Linked DNA regions of Arabidopsis thaliana. The protein of the gene in region 4 purifies or fractionates together with the protein of the main gene of each other region. This does not show direct contact. Each region holds a gene or a part of one and is shown on either strand. Other genes may lie near its edges.

Region 1 (5,047 bases), on a different chromosome or scaffold from region 4:
TGTCGATAAATAGAAGTACGTCTTGCTCATTAACATCTCGGAAATATTCTGCCATAGTTAAGGCAGTCAGACCAACTCTCATACGAGCTCCTGGCGGTTCATTCATCTGACCATAAACTAGGGCCACTTTGGATTCCGCAAGATTTTGTTCATTAATGACTCCAGATTCTTTCATTTCCATGTAAAGATCATTTCCTTCACGAGTCCGTTCGCCTACTCCACCAAATACGGATACACCACCATGAGCTTTAGCAATGTTGTTGATCAATTCCATAATTAGTACTGTTTTACCCACGCCAGCCCCACCGAATAGTCCAATTTTTCCCCCACGACGATAAGGGGCCAAAAGATCTACTACTTTAATTCCTGTTTCAAAAATCGATAATTTTGTATCTAATTCTATAAAAGCAGGCGCGGATTTATGGATAGGAGATGTTGTGCGAGTATCGACAGGACCTAAATTATCAACGGGTTCCCCAAGCACGTTGAAAATTCGTCCTAGAGTCGCTCCGCCGACTGGAACACTTAGAGGATTTCCCATATCAACCACGTCCATTCCTCTCTTTAAACCCTCTGTCGCACTCATAGCTACAGCTCTAACTCGATTATTTCCTAATAATTGCTGTACTTCACAAGTCACATTAATTTCTTGACCAAGAGTATCTCGACCCTTAACCACCAGAGCATTGTAAATATTAGGCATTTTGCCCGGGGGGAAGGCTACATCCAGTACCGGACCAATGATTTGGGCGATACGTCCCAGGTTTTTTTTTTCACGTATCGAAACCTCTGGATTTGAAGTAGTAGGATTTGTTCTCATAATAAAAAAAATATGTTAAATTTTGTTACGAATTTTTTCGAATACAGAAAAAATCTTCGATAGCAAATTAATCGGTTAATTCAATAAAAAGTGGGAGTAAGCACTCGATTTCGTTGGTCCCACCCAAGCGGATGTGGAATTCAATTTTTTATTCATTCAATGAAGGAATAGTCATTTTCAAGCTCAACTAACTGAAACCTAGTTTTAAAATAAAAAATATATGAATAAAAAAATTTTTTGCGGAAAGTCTTTTATTTTTTTATCATAATAGGAATAGGCAAGCCTTTGTTTTATCTAGCGAATTCGAAACGGAACTTTAGTTATGATTCATTATTTCGATCTCATTAGCCTTTTTTTTCGTATTTTCATTTTAGCATATCCGGTTATGCGTCCCATTTATTCATCCCTTTAGCAACCCCCCCTTGTTTTTCATTTTCATGGATGAATTCCGCATATTGTCATATCTAGGATTTACATATACAACAGATATTACTGTCAAGAGTGATTTTATTAATATTTTAATTTTAATATTAAATATTTGGATTTATAAAAAGTCAAAGATTCAAAACTTGAAAAAGAAGTATTAGGTTGCGCTATACATATGAAAGAATATACAATAATGATGTATTTGGCGAATCAAATATCATGGTCTAATAAAGAATAATTCTGATTAGTTGATAATTTTGTGAAAGATTCCTGTGAAAAAGGTTAATTAAATCTATTCCTAATTTATGTCGAGTAGACCTTGTTGTTTTGTTTTATTGCAAGAATTCTAAATTCATGACTTGTAGGGAGGGACTTATGTCACCACAAACAGAGACTAAAGCAAGTGTTGGGTTCAAAGCTGGTGTTAAAGAGTATAAATTGACTTACTATACTCCTGAATATGAAACCAAGGATACTGATATCTTGGCAGCATTCCGAGTAACTCCTCAACCTGGAGTTCCACCTGAAGAAGCAGGGGCTGCGGTAGCTGCTGAATCTTCTACTGGTACATGGACAACTGTGTGGACCGATGGGCTTACCAGCCTTGATCGTTACAAAGGACGATGCTACCACATCGAGCCCGTTCCAGGAGAAGAAACTCAATTTATTGCGTATGTAGCTTATCCCTTAGACCTTTTTGAAGAAGGTTCGGTTACTAACATGTTTACCTCGATTGTGGGTAATGTATTTGGGTTCAAAGCCCTGGCTGCTCTACGTCTAGAGGATCTGCGAATCCCTCCTGCTTATACTAAAACTTTCCAAGGACCACCTCATGGTATCCAAGTTGAAAGAGATAAATTGAACAAGTATGGACGTCCCCTATTAGGATGTACTATTAAACCAAAATTGGGGTTATCCGCGAAAAACTATGGTAGAGCAGTTTATGAATGTCTACGTGGTGGACTTGATTTTACCAAAGATGATGAGAATGTGAACTCCCAACCATTTATGCGTTGGAGAGACCGTTTCTTATTTTGTGCCGAAGCTATTTATAAATCACAGGCTGAAACAGGTGAAATCAAAGGGCATTATTTGAATGCTACTGCGGGTACATGCGAAGAAATGATCAAAAGAGCTGTATTTGCCAGAGAATTGGGAGTTCCTATCGTAATGCATGACTACTTAACAGGGGGATTCACCGCAAATACTAGTTTGTCTCATTATTGCCGAGATAATGGCCTACTTCTTCACATCCACCGTGCAATGCACGCTGTTATTGATAGACAGAAGAATCATGGTATGCACTTCCGTGTACTAGCTAAAGCTTTACGTCTATCTGGTGGAGATCATATTCACGCGGGTACAGTAGTAGGTAAACTTGAAGGAGACAGGGAGTCAACTTTGGGCTTTGTTGATTTACTGCGCGATGATTATGTTGAAAAAGATCGAAGCCGCGGTATCTTTTTCACTCAAGATTGGGTCTCACTACCTGGTGTTCTGCCTGTGGCTTCAGGGGGTATTCACGTTTGGCATATGCCTGCTTTGACCGAGATCTTTGGAGATGATTCTGTACTACAATTCGGTGGAGGAACTTTAGGCCACCCTTGGGGAAATGCACCGGGTGCCGTAGCCAACCGAGTAGCTCTGGAAGCATGTGTACAAGCTCGTAATGAGGGACGTGATCTTGCAGTCGAGGGTAATGAAATTATCCGTGAAGCTTGCAAATGGAGTCCTGAACTAGCTGCTGCTTGTGAAGTATGGAAAGAGATCACATTTAACTTCCCAACCATCGATAAATTAGATGGCCAAGAGTAGATGAATTAGATTTAGTAATTCACGTTTGTTTTATTAGTTTAATTGCACTCGGCTCAATCTTTTTTTTACTAAAAAAGATTGAGCCGAGGTTATCTGTTGTATATACTATTTTTTTTGATAGATACATACTTAAATTTAGATAGAAAAAAAACTCTTCAATAAAAAAAAGAAGATTAAACACAACTACAATTTTGTTATTGTAGTGTTGTGTCCACAAGAAATCCTATACGAAACATGGATTCTTAATTCTTAGGAGTGTTATATTCTTTCGTGTCAGGGCTTGAACCAAGTATCCCCGCTTCTTCTACCCCATCCTGCATGTTGTCCTTTTCTTTTCATTCCGTATTGGAATAAAAAAAGTTTTTTTTTATATTAGTATACGAGATTTTACTAAAAAAGTTCTTAATATTCTTATATTCATAAGCGAAGAACAAATATTTCTTTTTTTTTTATGAGAATTTTACACAATATAAGAAAATCCTTCTTTTCATTTAGAATTAAAATTGATTCATTTCAATTACTTTACTTAATAATCTTAGCAATTGCATCGATATGTTTTGCTTACTCTGAATAGAAAATGAACTATTCAAAAAAATTTTGCATTTTTCAATTTTTTCATTGAATGACTATTCATCTATTGTTATTGTATTTTCATTTAAATAGAGGCCAGAAGCTCTATGGAAAAATCGTGGTTCAATTTTATGTTTTCTAAGGGAGAATTGGAATACAGAGGTGAGCTAAGTAAAGCAATGGATAGTTTTGCTCCTGGTGAAAAGACTACTATAAGTCAAGACCGTTTTATATATGATATGGATAAAAACTTTTATGGTTGGGATGAGCGTTCTAGTTATTCTTCTAGTTATTCCAATAATGTTGATCTTTTAGTTAGCTCCAAGGACATTCGCAATTTCATATCGGATGACACCTTTTTTGTTAGGGATAGTAATAAGAATAGTTATTCTATATTTTTTGATAAAAAAAAAAAAATTTTTGAGATTGACAATGATTTTAGTGACCTAGAAAAATTTTTTTATAGTTATTGTAGTTCTAGTTATCTAAATAATAGATCTAAAGGTGACAACGATCTGCACTATGATCCTTACATTAAGGATACTAAATATAATTGTACTAATCACATTAATAGTTGCATTGATTCTTATTTTCGTTCTTACATCTGTATTGATAATAACTTTTTAATCGATAGTAATAATTTTAATGAAAGTTACATTTATAATTTCATTTGTAGTGAAAGCGGAAAGATTCGTGAAAGTAAAAATTACAAGATAAGAACTAATAGGAATCGTAGTAATTTAATAAGTTCTAAGGATTTCGATATAACTCAAAACTACAATCAATTGTGGATTCAATGCGACAATTGTTATGGATTAATGTATAAGAAAGTCAAAATGAATGTTTGTGAACAATGTGGACATTATTTGAAAATGAGTAGTTCAGAAAGAATCGAGCTTTCGATTGATCCGGGTACTTGGAATCCTATGGATGAAGACATGGTCTCTGCGGATCCCATTAAATTTCATTCGAAGGAGGAACCTTATAAAAACCGTATTGACTCTGCGCAAAAAACTACAGGATTGACTGACGCTGTTCAAACAGGTACAGGTCAACTAAACGGTATTCCGGTAGCCCTTGGGGTTATGGATTTTCGGTTTATGGGGGGTAGTATGGGATCCGTAGTAGGCGAAAAAATAACTCGTTTGATCGAGTATGCTACCAATCAATGTTTACCTCTTATTTTAGTGTGTTCTTCCGGAGGAGCACGAATGCAAGAAGGAAGTTTAAGTTTGATGCAAATGGCTAAAATTTCTTCGGTTTTATGTGATTATCAATCAAGTAAAAAGTTATTCTATATATCAATTCTTACATCTCCTACTACCGGTGGAGTGACAGCTAGTTTTGGTATGTTGGGGGATATCATTATTGCCGAACCCTATGCCTATATTGCATTTGCGGGTAAAAGAGTAATTG
Region 2 (5,386 bases), on a different chromosome or scaffold from region 4:
TCAATTTGCTGTTGCTTGTTTCAGATCCGTTTGCTGATGCGAATGTTGAGGACTCAGGTGCCGGAACAAAAGAATACGTTCATATCCGTGTCCAGCAGCGAAATGGTAGGAAAAGCTTGACAACCGTCCAGGGCCTGAAGAAAGAGTACAGCTATACCAAGATACTTAAGGACCTCAAGAAAGAGTTTTGCTGCAACGGCACTGTGGTTCAGGATTCAGAACTCGGACAGGTAGGTTTTATCAAAACACTCTATTGATCCATGTAGTGGAAAGTGGATGATAATATTTCTGTCGTTAGTGCCTGCTTGAACAAACCAGAATGATTTGGCCTCTTATCTGAACATTTGAGCTTCTCTGTTTTAGTTTTGTTTATGGTTTGTGTTGATTTGTAGGTTATACAGCTTCAAGGTGACCAACGTAAGAACGTCTCCACATTCCTTGTCCAGGTAAATATCAATAACTCTACGAGTCTCTTTACTGCTAAAACATACAAACTGTGTAAGATGATTGTCTGATCTCACTGTTTCTCTGTAATCACAGGCTGGTTTGGTGAAGAAGGATAACATCAAGATCCATGGTTTCTAAGCTATCTAGTGGATCATATTATTAATAAAACCATATCTTTTTCTTTCATCTCTTGTTGCGAATTTCGGGTTTGATTCATCAAAATCGTCTTCTTCCTAGTGTTCTTCTTCTGTTTGGTATTCGAATTTTAATGGCTTATGTTCACCATACTTCTTCCCCTGTTTTCGTGTTACTCTGTTTCACATCTTACTTATCTTATAATATCAGTTTGTTAAGATAATTCTGCTCTAACTTGTTATAATTTTTCTCTACAATGGTTCATAGTTTTAAAATTATATAAGGACCAACCGGAAGTTTATACGGTCGATACTTTCCAAGTATACCAAATTGCAGGTTTTAGTTTGGACCACAAAAAAGTTCAATGATCAAAAAGGCTGATGTATCTTCTCACTAGTAATAATAATTCATAAGCACACAAATAATGATAAATGAACTGTCTCTGTCACTAGTAAAGTCCAAATGCCGTCTCTATCGTACAAAGATATTTCACCTTCTTGTTGTTCGTGTCACCACACACTCACTGCAACTGGCTACAGATGTTCCCAGATAAAAGCTTCGAGATATTTTTTTATACATTTATTTTGATCCATATCACAATATTAATTGCAAAGTTTTTTCCCTTTTCTTCAAGAAATAGAGCAATCCGATTCAGTCAATTCTTTGAAGTTATAACAGTAATCAATTCGCCATTAATTTTATACATTTAATCAATGTATAATATAAGTATTTTTCTTTCATAAATGGGGGAAAAAAATAGAGATAGTTTTTGACCAAAAAAAAAATAAAAAAAAATAGACATAGTCATTGGAGATGGTTTTACTAAATTTGGGCTTGTTCAAGAGAAGTGTCTTTTCTTCATTCAATCAGAACCGTGAAGAAAGGAGATCGTTACTTTCCATTGATGGCTAAAAATTAAAATAATCACGATAAATATTAATAATACAAAAAACAATTAAAATAACAAAAAAAGATCAAAAATTCTCTAACCCTTCATTCCTTATCTCTGACGTGGCCATCAATCTTCAGATTTTCTTCTTCTTCTAATTTAAATACTCAACAACCACTCTTCACTTCACCATCAGCATCACTAAACTCGAACCCTAAAGAAAAACAAAAATGGCTGCCATAGCTTCTACTCTCTCTCTTTCTTCAACCAAACCTCAGAGACTTTTCGATTCTTCCTTCCATGGCTCAGCCATCTCCGCAGCTCCTATCTCCATCGGTCTCAAACCACGATCTTTCTCCGTTCGCGCCACAACCGCTGGTTACGACTTGAACGCTTTCACGTTCGACCCGATCAAGGAATCGATCGTGTCACGTGAGATGACGAGAAGGTACATGACGGATATGATCACTTATGCTGAGACTGATGTCGTCGTCGTTGGTGCTGGATCTGCTGGTTTATCTGCTGCTTATGAGATCAGTAAGAACCCTAATGTTCAAGTTGCCATTATTGAGCAATCTGTTAGTCCTGGTGGTGGTGCTTGGCTCGGTGGTCAGCTTTTCTCCGCCATGGTAAGATTTAGATTCATTTGCATGTGTGATTTTGTTGAAGTTTTGAGTTCTGTTTCTGTTTTAATGGAGAATTAGGGTTTAGATTGAATCATTATGAGTATTGATTGCTTGTGCTTATGGTAGATTGTTCGCAAACCAGCTCACTTGTTCCTTGACGAGATTGGTGTGGCTTACGATGAGCAAGACACCTACGTTGTGGTTAAGCACGCGGCTCTGTTCACATCAACCATCATGAGCAAGCTTTTGGCTCGTCCTAATGTGAAGCTCTTCAACGCTGTGGCTGCTGAGGATTTGATTGTGAAAGGAAACAGAGTTGGTGGTGTGGTGACTAACTGGGCTCTTGTGGCTCAGAACCACCACACACAATCGTGTATGGACCCTAATGTTATGGAAGCGAAGATTGTGGTTAGCTCTTGTGGTCATGATGGTCCTTTTGGAGCTACTGGTGTTAAGAGGTTGAAGAGTATTGGGATGATTGATCATGTTCCTGGGATGAAAGCTTTGGACATGAACACTGCTGAGGACGCTATTGTGAGGTTGACCAGAGAGGTTGTTCCTGGTATGATTGTTACCGGTATGGAAGTTGCTGAGATCGATGGTGCACCGAGAATGGTGAGTATTCTTGACCTATATATGTTTGATTTGGTATCCATAGTTTTCGTTAGATCATGTCCTGAGTTAGTTTGTGGTGATGTAGGGACCAACTTTTGGTGCTATGATGATATCGGGACAAAAGGCGGGACAACTTGCTCTTAAGGCTTTGGGGCTACCGAATGCTATTGACGGAACTCTCGTTGGAAACCTAAGCCCGGAGCTGGTCTTAGCCGCAGCAGATTCAGCTGAAACCGTAGATGCTTAAAATCAAAAGGTTTTAACGTTAAGAAAAGTTTCCCTTGATCCTTCGGATGTTGAAGGAGTGCAATAAAAGGAGTTTAGGTGTTTAATATGTCTTGAACTTTTCTGGTGTCTTTGTTTCTCTCTTCTGAACTTCTGTGTAAAATATCGTATCCGTTCATTCGTAATGCGTATGTTCTCGTTCTTCTCCTTCTTTATGGCTCTAGTACAAGCAGCTTTCTCGTTGTCGTTGGCAATACAAAATCTGTCTAAATTTGAGGGATGAGATTAGTGTTGGATGTCGGATTCTTGTCTTCAATTCTGATTCTTATCCTTGAAGAAATTATGTATAGATAGAGCTATTCAATGTCTATAGTTTCTCTGCTGATGAAAGAACGAAGAGTTTTATGATTTTAGATTCAGAGAACAGAGGAAAACTGTGAAATAGAAAGAAAAAAGTTTTTACATTTCTTTTATGAACATATATATATATATATATATACTGATGTCTGACCTGGAATTCAAATACTCCATCCTTATTTACATATATAATCCGACTTAGAAGTGCAACAATGAGTTTAGAAATGACATCGATGATAATTCTTTTGTGTGCTTTTTTTTTGTTTTGGTTTGTGAAACAAATATTACAAAATGTGTGGATTTGTATGAACAGTTTACAACGAGAAGTTGTTGTGTAAATTGGGCTCTTTTCTTCAGAATTCTTGCCACCCAAGGAATCGTTAGTCACTTTTTTGTCGCCGGTTTTGTGAGTTATCAAATATGTATAAAAACATACAAAAACGCTACTACTCGTGAATCTTCTGCAATGCTATTTCTTGGCCTGAAATACCAAAAACAGAACAATCAGAGAGTTATAAGATAGCTAAAGAAGGATCATACACAAACTCATAAGAGTATAAAGCAAACCTTTTTAAGATACTTCTTGTGAAGTTTCATTGCACCAGTACAGGCTTTTTTAGCATCCAAGTTTCCGGTTATGTCGTTTAAGATCTGAGCAAAATACACAGATTAAAGAGGACTTCACTTGTAAAACAGATAAAAACCGCTCTGAATTCTCTGCATTACCTTTACAACGTCATCAAGTCCTCGAGCTTCGGTCATTAACTTAGAACTCTTGTCTTTCAAAACACTAGCCACTAAGAAAACAGAGATAGGCAAAGGACCTTCCGCGCTTTTCCCTCCATTCTTCATGTTCTCTCTCTCGTACTTCCCGCATTGGTTTATCGACTTTGGTTTACCTTTGGAGGAACCTTCGATTCTCTCTCCCTCGAATTGAGGCTCCTCATATAGAGAATACATTTCAGGGTCGTACTCTAATGCCCACATCATCTGCTCAAGGAATACATGTACGTATCAGTCTTTATTAGTGTGCGGTCAAAGAACAATGTTTCTGAGTTTGTGATTTGTGAAGTTTATAAAGAGACGAAGAAGAACGTTACCTCCCAAAGGTACAAGGAGTCACAAAAGGAGAATTCTCTTCGGAACTGAACCATTATCATTCGAATAGCAAAGAGATAGTCACCACCACCCAATTTCTCTGCATTTCAAGATCCATAATGTCTTTCAAGATCTCTCTTGCTCAACCAGTGACGATTAGTTATATACTAAAAGTGAGGTTAGAAAGCTTTAATAGATACCTAAGTGATGGTGAAGTTTGGGGTCAATAATCTGAGTGATTGAAGCCAAATGAGTAAGCTGTGCTTCGACTCCAACTGATCTCCCCGTGTCACGAAAATTCCCTCGCTTTCAAGTTCAAAAGAAGAATAAAAAACCTTTAGTATTATCTGATTACAGAGAGAGTCAAGACAAACTTATATGAACACAAAACATAGAGGTATAGTACCAATCGGCGCATCAATCTTTCGAAACACCAAAAAGCATCAGCTTCGTCCTCAAGAAGCATAATCATAGGGGAACAAAGATCACTCATTCCTACTCAGAAGAAAGAGTAGATAGATCAAAACATAAGAATCAATCAGGGCTTGAACAAAGGATAAACCCTGTTCTTTCTTTATATTTAACTGCTTACCTTGGCAATAACCAACATCATTGTCTATCCATGCGTAAAGAGCTAGAATGTCCCAAAGCTTAGACAAGTTCTCCTTTTTCTCATAGAATACCAAAGTCCTATCTGTGCGATTTACATCAAGACCTGAAAACAAGAGTTTACGCAAGTCAATTCAATGACATATTGAATTATCTCTCTGTTGTGACCAAAGCAGTGTTATTACAGACCTATTTGGTGAAGTGTTAACAGCCATTGAATAACTTTCTGGTCCAAAGGTCCACGGCTTGCAAGATCTTTGAAGAAATCTGAACCATTTGCACCTGAGATAAAACATAAAAATTATAAGTTCTAGTGAAAGGTGTTTGTTCTACTGTTTCCTAGAGCAAAAGATACAAATTTTTACCTAAATTTGTTTCTTGTAGT
Region 3 (6,217 bases), on a different chromosome or scaffold from region 4:
GTAAACTCAAGAAAAGAACCTAGCAGCCCAAATACATTTATTTCATTCAACTTACCAAACTGGGAATCCGAGAACTCGTGGATGCCTCCACCAGACTGTAAAAAAGTAGTCGTAAAATTTAAAACATTGTGAAACACTTATATAGCAGAGTCTCTATAGATATAATTACCTTGACAGAGAAGTACGCCCACACATTTGGCTTGCTCTTAAAACTCAACTCCTGTTGCAAGTTCATACAAGTGTTACCCACAGAGTTCTCAGTGAATGAACTTTCACTTTGCATTCCACAGATATCACATTACCTGAACTCTACCGCTGGTTGGTTTGAACCCGTCATCAGGATCCTCACTTGTCACACGTACAGCCACACAATGACCTTTTGGCCTTATAGATTGAGCTTTATCAAAATCAAAAGGGAAGGCTACAACAGATGTTTTTCGCCAAGAATCATAACCTCCACCATGTTCTATTCCATAGAACCGTCTTATCTCTACGAAATTAAAGAGAAACAGACAGTACATTATTCGTGTGCATGGATAAAGAAGAGGAACCGCTGCCTGTAAGAAATAAGGACGTAGATTATACCAGGGATTTGCCAGAGAGGAATTCCCATCCCCACAGCAACTTGGGCAGCAGGAAGATTTATCTCGGCAATCCACTCAGTGACAGGATGCTCAACCTGACCTCAAACATCAAGTTAAACAAGTCATTCAATTTTCAAGTCCGGACCTTCAATATATTTCAACGCAAAAAGCTGCAGTATGAAACCAACCTGTAAGCGAGGGTTAAGCTCTAAGAAGTAGTACTCCCCAGTGTCCATACTGTAGAGATACTCAACAGTAGCAGCTCCAACATAGTTAACACTCTTAGCCAACCTTCTAGCTGCTTGTTCAAGTTTCTTGACAGTTTCTGGCGGAGCCACAGTAATTGGACCCTCCTCTATGATCTACGATACAAACGATAAAGTAAGAGCTCATGCAATAATTTGCAATCGCTAAAAGGGACTATAACTCAGTTGGAGAACAAAAATTGATGTATATAACTATATAAGAATAAATGGACAGAATGTTTTTCTATATAACCACTAACCAGACAATTAAAAATCCAGAATCAACCACTAACAAACCTTTTGATGTCTTCTCTGGACGCTACAATCACGGCTATGCAGAGCTGAAACATTTCCATGCTTGTCACAGAGCAGCTGGACCTCTAGATGCCGACTCTATACAAAAAAAAAATTAGAAAAAATGAAATGTAAAGAAAAGCAATGCATTACTACTTTAAATTCTCTAGTAAAGTAACCAGATAAGAACTCAGCTAAGCTTCGATCAAGAGATATAGTTAAGCAGCCATACCTGTGACGCAACCTTCATTATGAATATTGGTGAGCCTGGGACCTCACCCTGAACTTGCTTGAATAGAGCCCTAACCTCATCATCATTATGAACCTATAAATTTAAAACCAGAATAAGTACTTATATAGTAATCGGCTTAGTCCACAATCAAAAGGCATATCTACAGAAGCTGACCTTCCTGATTCCTTTACCACCACCACCCCACGATGCTTTGATCATTGCTGGGTAACCGACAACTTGACAGCTAGCAATCGCTTCTTCAGTTGTGTAGACACATGCTTGCCGGTAGATCTCCTCTGGGATGGTTACCAAGTTGCTATTAGGAGGTATTTTAACCTGAAAACATAGGAATTCAGTATATAAAAATGAAAATATATACCTCTGGTACACAAGCTAAGCTTAACAAGAGTAAATTTACTTACATGGGAACCACTCCATGGCAGAGTGGGTACATCAGCAGCTTGTGCAATCAACGAAGAACCAATCTTATCTCCCAGTGCTGCCATTGAAGATGCTGGAGGACCAAGAAATATGATTCCTTTTGCATCTAGGGCATCAGGTAATTCGGGGTTTTCAGATGCATGACCCCAACCAGGCCAAACTGCATCCACGCGTGTTACTTCAGCCATCTGCACACAGGTTGTAGACAAAGATGTTCAGATGAATGAAAAATAACTCCAAAGACCAAAACTTCATTGCTGAAATTGAGCTTAATACATGTGTTCTGTACAGTAAAACACGATAATTCAGATAATAGTAGTTCCCAAAAGTTGGATTCACCTCCACAATCAGCTGAACGTTAGCATAATTGTTATTGTTGGTTCCTCCGGGAACCTCAACAAACTGATCAGCGATTCTGATATGCTCCGCATTGATCCGCATGTCTTCAGGGGTTGCCATCCCCACCAACAATATGGCTTTTTCCGTACCAAATGTTTCATAAGCCCATGTTCTGACACTACGTATAAACTTCACAGCCGCCATTCCATTGTTAGCTATCAAAATACTATGGATCGGCCTTTTCCCTCTAAGTGCTTTACAGAACTCATCCACTTGAGACACCGTCTCATAATTTATACCAGGTCCTACAGCACTATGATTCCCGTTAACCGAGCCAGCCATTGTCACTGCCCTTTAAGCTTCAGATATATCTACAAAACAGCCATAAACACATACTGAATCACTTTACAAAGAAACTGATGCTATCTACCAAAATGACTTGAAAGAACATAACAGGAATATTAAAACAATTCCTAATCTGGTTGCTTAATCTAACAAACAAAGATGCTTCAGATTACAAGGTGGAATTAACAAAGATGACAGCAATGCTTTTGCGTAATCACATGAAGAAAAAAAGAGTATAGAAAAAGCAAAACGCAATCATAAGCAAAGATCTTGCAAGTAAGAAAGCATCATTACCCAATAATAATGAGTTCCTTTAGAAATCTGAGAGATCTCAGAACTAATGATTATAAACTCCCCAAACCCACTAAAATTCTACAATATTGAAGTCGAAAACTCAACAAAACCCAACTTCAACAACAAGTTAAAATCACAAAAACAAGTGCAAAATTCTCATTGCTAAACCATAAAAATCAAAACTTTAAAACACCCAAATAACAAAAACTCAACAAAACCCAACTCCAACAACAAGTAAAAAATCACAAAAACAAGTCCAAATTCCGATTGCTAAACCATAAAAATCAAAACTTTAAAACACCCAAATAACAAAATCAGCAAAAGCAGAAAACTTTAAACCTTGTAAGGAAGCAGAGATACAAATTGGCTTAAAGAGGCATCAGAGAAGGCCAGAATTGTGGGTGTTTAGCTAAAGAATAACAGAGAGGAGGACATGGAAGAGAATGAGGGAGAGAGAAAGGGTTTTAAGAGAGGGAAGAGAGAAGAGGGTAGGTTGGAGTTAGAAGAGGAGAAGGAAAGTGGGGTCAGAAGAGTTAATAATGGGAGATGATGAAGAGAGGAAGAAGATGAAGGAGAAGAAGAGAAGAGAGAGCACGTGGTCTCTGCCTCCGCCACACTCCACACCTCCATTGTTTTTTTTCGATCCCTTTTTGTTAGGAGGCGCCGTACTTGTTCCTCAGCTACCTCATTTCATCCCCCCACTCTTGTTTTTTCCGCTATATTATTTCCCAATGCTTCTCATTGTAGTATTATACAAAGTTTTATTTCAAGTTTTATTTCCAGTTTTAGAACCAAGTTTTTTTATTTACCAAAACAAAAAAAAAATTGAATACTGTAGAAATTTTATATGGAATTTGTGATTTTTTATAGACATCAAAACAATTTTTATTTCAGAGAGAAGATCTAGAGAATATGACAAGATTTAATCGATAAAACTTCGGTTTTTCGGTCATTTTCGAAGATTTCAATAATTTTTGCCAGTTTATTTTGCAGAAAAAAATATTTTTTATGTTGGCATATATAGTTTACAGAGATATATTATGTTATCAATTGTTTTTTGAATTTAGTTGCTAAATTTAGATGGATAATCTTCTAACCCGAACAAATCTATTGCATAGTATTATTATACAAAGTTTTATTTCAAGTTTTGGAAAAAAAAAAATTTTAACCAAACCAAAAATATATGATTACAGGAAATTTTATATGGAATTTGTGATTTTTTATAGACATCAGAATAATTTTTAATTTCAGAGAAAATCTAGAGAATATGATTAGATTTAATCGATAAAACTTAGGTTTTTCGGTTATCTCCGGAGATTTCAATATTTTTTGCCAGTTTAGTTTTTGGCATATATAATTTACCAATAGTTTCTTGAATTTAATTGCCAAATTTAAGTGGATAATCTTCAAACCCAAACAAATCTTTTGCATAGTTTTTCTAGGTTATATTTAAATTAATATATACCATTCTTAATGCTTTATATAAGATACATTTAACTTGTTGGAAACTTTTTTCTCAATATATTCGCAGGCCAAATCAAGAAATATTATTCCTTTACCATCTTTAGATTTATGTTCTCTTTAGCTAACTTCAATTTATGGTTATATACTTATGTTTTGTTCTTGTGTATATTTAAGACTATTAGAAAGTATCAAGAAAATGCTGATTTGAGTTTATTTCATAATTTTCTTATTTAAAAGTTTACTACATTTAGTTTACTACATAACTATCTCTTTTACATTTGTATCCGAACAAAGCAAATGATAGCAAAACATAGATTTGTGCCGAATAAAAGAAGAATGGTATAAATTTGTTAAGCAATGAAAGATATCTATTTTAAAATAGTATTAGGTAAGCCATGAAGAAGACAATAAATTTCTACCGTCTGTGTTAAATGAACTTCAAATACGTCACAAGAGGCCATAGCAAATGGATCGCATTGTATGAGATTTATTATTTCGTTTATTTGGTCGGTCTGTTTCCGTTTTAAAGAAAATATTTATTATTGTCTTAGGAATGTGTAATATAATAGATTAAAGCCAAGAGGAATTGTATTTGTGTACGTTGAGTCGTTGACACAAGGTTGGGTGGTTTAGGTTACCAACATTTTATTTTCCTCTTGCTTGTAAATTATGTGTTTCAAATGTTTTAATGTTTTGTTTCTCATTTAGTAGAACGTATATTGGACCAAGATCTAGATTAGTGTTGCACCCAAGTTCAAGTTAGTCATGTAAAATCAATTCATAGATTTTTACCAATTCTTCATCTATCTACCTCATACGCATGAGGTGGTCATCTCACAATAATATGCATGGCCATGTTAAGCTAAGGATAATAAAAACTTTTACCACATTCTAGACTATATCGTATATGTTAGTGTCTCAGATATGCTTTTACTTTATTTATCACGACTATAATTCATAAAAGCATATTGTATTGCAAACCATTCATATTTATAAAATCATTTATATGTTTCACCAAAAATCATTAATATACAGAAATCATCATTCATCACAACTCTTTGTCGATGGTTTTATATAAGAGGTATAATTTCATATGTATTGTTTAATTAATTAGCACATATGCATCTATCTCTTTGATTAGCTGATATATGATTTTAGGCAAATCATTTTCATACAATACAAGAAAAATGGTTGATTGCAGCACTTACATAGTATCACAAAAATAAACAATATCAATTTAAAAATTATTTATTAATAAATGATACAAACTATGTAGTTTAGCATCAATTATAACAATTGATGTTGTAATCGAGTAATTTGACATCGGTTCAGTAAAAGTGATAATATAGCGATAATTTTATACATAGAAATTTCGTTTTTAATAATGAGATATTTTTCTTTTTATTAGAAGTAACAAACCATAAAATCAATCATCAGATCGTTAAAATGTTTGACCAATAAAAAAGGTTATGTTAAAATCAACCATCAATTTTATTTTGTAGTGATAGAAATACATGCATTCAAGTTTCATGTTTCCAATATTAAATTCTTAACTATTTGTAGGAATAAAAAAATTAAAATATCAACAAAATAAATAATTCCACAGTTTAGTTTACAATAAAATAATTTAAAAATCGCAAAAAAACACAGTCAAATATGGTTCTTCATTTTGTTTGATTATTTAAAATAAGAATAAAAATGGTCTCATTAACAAAGAAATAATATTAATGGCTTAATAGTAACTATAAATGACTGGGGGTTGAGATATAGTTGAGAGTTAGGTATGGGTTTATATTGTATGGCAACCTTATCATCTTTCTCTCAATATTCTTTCCTCATTTTTGTTAATTGTGAATGATCCAATCATTTTAGCAATGAAAATTAACGAATCATCGTTGACTTGTTTCAAACTTTTTAAAACAAATTTTATTGTATGCTTATGTCTTTGAGATCTTTTTTTTTCAATGGCACCATGGATT
Region 4 (5,979 bases):
CCCACTAGCCATCTCCAATCATGCTGATTCTCAATGTAAAAGAAGATCTATTTTTAAATTATGGAAAGGGGAAAGTTGAGAATATAAAGCTGTTTAAGATCAAATGTGGGAGTGGGAGTCACCAATTTTAGTAAATTACGCTTTTAAGTAAAAGTAAAACTTGGATTTGGATGGATATGAAATTTAGTGGATCAGCGATAGTTTTTGAGAGTGGAAACACATTTAAGATGTTGAAAAATCATTTTTGAAAGAAATTAAGTATTTTTTGGGGGTTTGAATTGAATATTTACAAGAAACTAGATTTTAATCCGCTGAATATCGCGGGACTATTTTGGTTTTTTACAAATAAAAATTTAATTTGTTAAGCCTGTTAACGGCTGTTAACTTATATGTCCGATTCGACCAATAATTAAAATACAGTGTTTTATTTGGCAACAATTTATTAAGTGATGTATTTTTATTTCAATCCAAAAGTATTGAGTATTAAACTTCCAAATTAAAATTTGTTTGGGATTTTTTAAGCATTTTTGCCTTTAATGTTTTGTATTTTCTGAATGTATAACTCTTACTATGTTTGATTTTTACTGTTTAAAAATATAGGAACAATAATGTACAGTTCATTAAGTTAAAATCTAGATTATTATTAAATAATTTAAATTTTAATTATGTTTATTTTATTAATAATATTTATTTTGTTAAGTTTTTAAGATAATATAATTATATTTTGATTGTTATATCTAGGATTTCACCCATGGTATAACGTCTCGTATTACTATCAACTCAAACTCGTCCTACCATGTAATCTCGTTCACTGAAACTAAACATATCTAATAGATTTCACTCTTGGTATATCATCTCGTATTACAATCGACCCAAATCTGTCCTACCATCTAAACTCGTTCACTGAAATTAAACATTTTGTTTTTGTTATTTTATTTTAATAATACTTTAATTTAAAAGATATATAATTCAAATTAATTTAAAAATCTTCTTTCAAATGGTTATTTAATTGTTGTAAAAGTCATACATTATAATATTCTACATCCGTCTCTCCATCTAATCTAGTTCGGTAAATTAAACATTATTTTTTTTTTTTTGTTCTAATAATATTTTTATTAAAAGATTTATAATTCAATTCAATTTAAAGTTTTCTTTTGAAATGGTTATTTAATTTAATACATTTCATATATTATATATATTCTAAACATTTTTCGGTAAATATCCTAAATATTTTATAAATTTTAAATAACTATATTATTTATCTTTAATAAATTATAATGTTAATAAAATCCTAACATTTTTCCTTTTTAAAAGTAATTAGAATTGATGGATATATATTAGATAAGTAAATGCTAATAATTAAGAATATTAATTATTTGATAATAATAAATGTCAATAACATTTCTTGTAAATAAGTTCCAACTTGAAGATTTATTTGTTAAAATGGCAGCGAAAATGTATATGTAGAAGATGGAGATCATATGTTGGTGGTTGCTATTAGATGTAAAACATAACGTTGTACTGTGAACTATATGCCATGTATTTCTCCTCCACAAAATCTATTCTCTGGAAATTAACCTAAATTTTTAAATATCTGTATTTTGCCTCCTTTTCATTCTATTTTGTTTGATACAAACGATTGTGGTTTGTAATGTTAAAATTAGGAATGTTATTGAATGATATGTATATTTCATAAAAATAATAATAATAAAAGTAGGATGAATAGTAAAATTCCAAGGCATTTCATAATTTACCCATTACATGGTCAAAATTTATCAATATTTTAAAATAATAATAATCATCCAATCAAGATTTTGGGAATAGAATATCTTAAGAACTTAGTATAATTACATATATATATATATATTCCCTTTTAAATGTATCAAAAACAAACTAAGAACATACAAGGAATTTGATGTAGTACTATACAATTTACATGCAAACAGATGTAGTACTATTTGATGACAAAAAAAAAAAAAAAGATGTAGTACTATTTTATCTTTTCATCGGAATAATTCGGTCATGAAGCTATTAATTGGTTTTAATGAGAATTTATTATAACAGTTGTTGCCACACTGTCGAAATACTAACGCCTAACGGCTAGTTAAATAATTAACACGCGGTGAGAAGTGAGTGAGTTACACGAACCACTAAGAATCTAATATAGGAAGATAAGATAAGCATTTCACACGTGTGGTGTGGACAATTTAACAGTGTTAACACGCGCATGGCATGTGATCTAGAAATTAGAACATTAATTTTAGCGTTTTGACTTTGACCTTTGAATCACTAGGCGTAGGTATTTACACGTGTAACAATATAATTTTTTTCAATATGTGATGATCATGGGCCAACGTTTGTGGGTAAAGGTGTGGTGTTCGATCATGATCCACTTAAATTTACTGAATTTTAGAATTATAACAGCAGAAGGATATAAGTAATATACCAAACTTAACTATAATCTACCTCTCCTTGTCTATGTATACTAAATGTCTAACATGTAACACAAAGCTGTACAAAATTTTTAACTCTCAAATTTTTTGAAATAATGCAAAGCTGTAAAAATAGCTGTACGAGAAAACTGTACAATAAAACTGAAAATAAAAAAATTTGTAACGTTTTTGATAAAAGTTTTGTAAATGTATAACCATCAAAACTGTACAACTTCCAGCTTTGATAATGAATTACCATTCAAAGCTAGAGTTTCGAATTTTTTCATTGTATACAACCATTTGAACACAACTCTTTTCAATTATGCCATACATACATTTAGTTAATAAATTTTACCGATTAACTAGTACTGACAAAAGAAACAAAGAGTAATTATATTTTTTTGATAAATTGTTTTATTAGAAAAATACTTAAAATTGATAAAAATAAATAAACCCAATTGATATATTTGATATTACAATACCAGATATTGAAACAAATAAGACATGTTTTGTCTATATACTTCCAACTAGAAGATATTTATTTATCCATATCCTAGATATTTTAATGTGTGAATCTAATACATTCTCTTATATACGACCAAATAGTAAAACAATATGCCTCTCCTGCAATTTTTCTTCATCCAATATTTCTATGGAGTCATCTTCTTCACTCCTTCATCACTCTTACCTCTCTTACCTTAATCCAAAATTTGGAAAAAGACCTTTGGTTTCTTATCCATTAATGCAGAGTTCGCGAAAATGCAAACAAACTCGCATTTGTTCTAACAAGATGTATGTTCCCGGTATGTAACAATATGACATATTCATCACAAAATGTGGTTTTTATTCATACAGAATTGTTCTATATAGATTAATGCCTATTTTTCTAATGTTTTTTTTGTTATATAATTGAATTAGGCTTTGGAGAAGCTTCACCGGAGGCTAAGGCAGCGAAGCATCTTCATGACTTCTTTACTTACGTTGCAGTGAGGATAGTGTCTGCTCAGCTTGAGGTTGATTTGACGATTTATTTGATTTTTTAATTTAGGTGTTTTGATTAATAATAAGTATGATCTATATATTAATTAATGACAGAGTTATAATCCTGAGGCTTATATGGAGTTGAGAGAATTTTTAGATACAAACTCTGTAAGTGACGGTGATAAATTCTGCGCCACTCTCATGCGTCGCTCTTCACGTCACATGAACTTAGGTACCAAAAATAACACCTTTATATCAATAATTTGGTTATAAAATTCTAGTATGCGTTTTCTTTTTGTGAAACTTGTTAGTTGGAATTTTAATTCTAGGTTCTTAAAGTTATACATTATACTTTTTTAACAAATTTGGTTTTCTTCTAGTAATTTAGACGAAATCTCTTTACTTTTTCCAAACATTCTTTTCGTACATTGGAAGTTGAAACTTCTCACTAAAATAACTAGTTATGGGAGTTCGGTTTATATATTCGGTTTCAGTTATATCCATTCGCTTATCGTTTTTTTTTTTGTTTTAAAGTTTAGTATCCCTTCGGTTAATTTGAAAGTTCGGTTCGGTTTCGATTATTTCGGTTTTAAAATTTAGTATCCATCCGGTTATTTTGCTTTAAATATTTTTGGATATTTCGGTTATTTTCGGATATTTTTGGATATTTTCGGATATTTTGAGATATTTTTTTTATTATTTTTGAATATTTTTACTATTTTATATATATTCTCAAGTATTTTTAATTATCTAGTCTAGAAATAACTAATACTTTTGTAAATATATATTTATATTTTAGATATTTTTGGTTACTCAAAATATTTCGGTTGGTATCCATTCGGTTTCAGTTATTTCGATTATAAAATTTTGTATCCATTCAATTAGTTTCTGGTTATCGGTTCTGTTTACTTCGGTTTTGGTTTGGTACATCTGGTTCGGGTAATTTGCTCAGGCACAAAACTAACAGTATAACACAACTAATCTGTGCAATTCTTGTAAAGAAAAACTACTTCAAAAATTGCGTGACGAAATACAATTCCACCAATTTGCGGATTACTAACGAAATCACTTTGTAGATCCATAAGTTTCGTATATCTTTTAGGTATACATATACTTGATATGAGATAAGTAAACTAAAAACTTTGCTTTTTTTTTTTGGTATCATGGCCAATGCAACAAGCCCTTCGAATTTTAGAGGTAAGCTAAGCTTTTCTTTTCTCCTTTAATACATTTTCGAAAACACTTCTACATCTTTTCTCATCTCTACGTTTGTATTTACGGTTTGAAACCGTTTGTTACCGCTTAGGTACGGTCTGCTTATTGTAAAAACGATTTCGAATGGGATAATATGAAGCGCCTCGCCTTCAAGGTTCACTTCTATCTATCTCTCTCTCTCGTTGTACATATATGAATGCAAGTACGTAATGAAGCATCTTGTGTTTTTGAAAATGCAGAACGTAGATGATTCCAACACAAGACTCATGCGCGAGTACGTCTTGGAGACTAGCCATGTCGAAACCGATTCTGATAAGTGAAACCGAATATCTCTTCGAATCACATTCATATATATAGAGTCTTGAGAGTATACACACTTGAAACCGTTTGTACATACATATACATACCATTGTGCTATGTTACTCCCAGGTTTTGATACCTTAGTTTTTTTTACCTGCAAATCGATCAAAACCCGATTTTCTTTGCGGAGTTACCTAGAGACGGGAATGGATACCGGGAGAGGCATGGATTTTGCCCGACCCAAAATACGATTGAGCATAGTCTTCGATATTCTCTAACCTGTCATGAATCGAATAAGATGGGTTTAGGACCAACAAAAATGAAAGCTTCGTAGCTGAATAATTTAAAGTACAAAGTTTACTTTACCTATAGACATAGTTTACCATAATGCCTCCACTTTGACGAATACCTTTCTCTGATCGATCCGCCATCCAATTTATTCTTTCAACCATCTATGTAACGTATCAAAACATGAAAGCTTATCAATCTCAATCACTCTATTAACTAAAACCTATCGTCATTCACTGGACTTACCGCTCCATTTTGCAAGTGGAAGTTAGCAACAGAGTCTAAAGCTTTTCCTCTCTTCTTCTCTTGCAAGAGGTACCTATCAAAATCAAGAAAGACCATTGAAAGTTATGCCTATATGATTCATATATAACCATTACATCTCCTCCAAGAATGAACATACCTAGCACATAACCGCATAAGAATAGGTTCTAAAACTGGTAATAGGCGAGGCGAAGTAGCCCAATCGCAGTTCTTTACTGATAGCAAATTCAACAGAACTTCCATACCGTTGCTACCGGATGAAGATTCACTGCATAAAAAGATCACTGAGTTGATGACTTGAACTTGATTTTCTATATAACAGATAAGAACATAAGGGCATGAAGAAAATCTTACTCTGATAGAGTCATGAGGGCATGTTCCTCTTCTGGTAGTAATACTTTCTCACTAAACGTAGATGAAGGCGAATTGCTCTGTGTACCACGCTCATCTTCAGCAAATCTTGACTGAGATGATAACTTCGAGAGGAGCCATTGCATGA

Evidence for each region.
Region 1: the proteins of RbcX1 (region 4) and rbcL purify together in Arabidopsis thaliana (affinity purification with mass spectrometry, with the first as the bait; one study listed by BioGRID). This does not show direct contact.
Region 2: the proteins of RbcX1 (region 4) and THI1 purify together in Arabidopsis thaliana (affinity purification with mass spectrometry, with the first as the bait; one study listed by BioGRID). This does not show direct contact.
Region 3: the proteins of RbcX1 (region 4) and ACC1 purify together in Arabidopsis thaliana (affinity purification with mass spectrometry, with the first as the bait; one study listed by BioGRID). This does not show direct contact.

The regions. Positions count from the first base shown.
Region 1 is NC_000932.1:53,337-58,383, forward strand, and holds rbcL (ribulose-1,5-bisphosphate carboxylase/oxygenase large subunit), read left to right. Parts: upstream 1-1,621; coding exon 1,622-3,061; downstream 3,062-5,047. Other genes in the region: atpB (ATP synthase CF1 beta subunit), read right to left, coding at 1-820; accD (acetyl-CoA carboxylase beta subunit), read left to right, coding at 3,739-5,047. UniProt on the Arabidopsis thaliana protein: RuBisCO catalyzes two reactions: the carboxylation of D-ribulose 1,5-bisphosphate, the primary event in carbon dioxide fixation, as well as the oxidative fragmentation of the pentose substrate in the photorespiration process.
Region 2 is NC_003076.8:22,244,933-22,250,318, forward strand, and holds THI1 (thiazole biosynthetic enzyme, chloroplast (ARA6) (THI1) (THI4)), read left to right. Parts: upstream 1-1,586; 5' UTR 1,587-1,701; coding exon 1,702-2,100; intron 2,101-2,223; coding exon 2,224-2,712; intron 2,713-2,797; coding exon 2,798-2,959; 3' UTR 2,960-3,400; downstream 3,401-5,386. Other genes in the region: AT5G54760 (Translation initiation factor SUI1 family protein), read left to right, coding at 25-230, 393-446, 541-585; AT5G54780 (Ypt/Rab-GAP domain of gyp1p superfamily protein), read right to left, coding at 3,764-3,775, 3,862-3,945, 4,021-4,284, 4,395-4,492, 4,593-4,698, 4,799-4,887, 4,985-5,107, 5,191-5,283 and 1 more. UniProt on the Arabidopsis thaliana protein: Involved in biosynthesis of the thiamine precursor thiazole. Catalyzes the conversion of NAD and glycine to adenosine diphosphate 5-(2-hydroxyethyl)-4-methylthiazole-2-carboxylic acid (ADT), an adenylated thiazole intermediate.
Region 3 is NC_003070.9:13,530,456-13,536,672, reverse strand, and holds the start of ACC1 (acetyl-CoA carboxylase 1), read right to left. Parts: upstream 3,506-6,217; 5' UTR 3,114-3,505; exon of another isoform or gene 2,775-3,113; intron 2,507-2,774; 5' UTR 2,478-2,506; coding exon 2,136-2,477; intron 1,985-2,135; coding exon 1,778-1,984; intron 1,692-1,777; coding exon 1,530-1,691; intron 1,449-1,529; coding exon 1,356-1,448; intron 1,223-1,355; coding exon 1,127-1,222; intron 947-1,126; coding exon 773-946; intron 680-772; coding exon 586-679; intron 491-585; coding exon 303-490; intron 221-302; coding exon 170-220; intron 96-169; coding exon 56-95; intron 1-55. UniProt on the Arabidopsis thaliana protein: Multifunctional enzyme that catalyzes the carboxylation of acetyl-CoA, forming malonyl-CoA, which is used in the plastid for fatty acid synthesis and in the cytosol in various biosynthetic pathways including fatty acid elongation.
Region 4 is NC_003075.7:2,115,669-2,121,647, reverse strand, and holds RbcX1 (Chaperonin-like RbcX protein), read left to right. Parts: upstream 1-3,030; 5' UTR 3,031-3,084; coding exon 3,085-3,235; intron 3,236-3,350; coding exon 3,351-3,445; intron 3,446-3,527; coding exon 3,528-3,645; intron 3,646-4,593; coding exon 4,594-4,610; intron 4,611-4,719; coding exon 4,720-4,782; intron 4,783-4,867; coding exon 4,868-4,948; 3' UTR 4,949-5,095; downstream 5,096-5,979. Other genes in the region: AT4G04320 (malonyl-CoA decarboxylase family protein), read right to left, coding at 5,123-5,207, 5,295-5,380, 5,463-5,535, 5,620-5,748, 5,835-5,979. UniProt on the Arabidopsis thaliana protein: Chaperone involved in RuBisCO assembly process.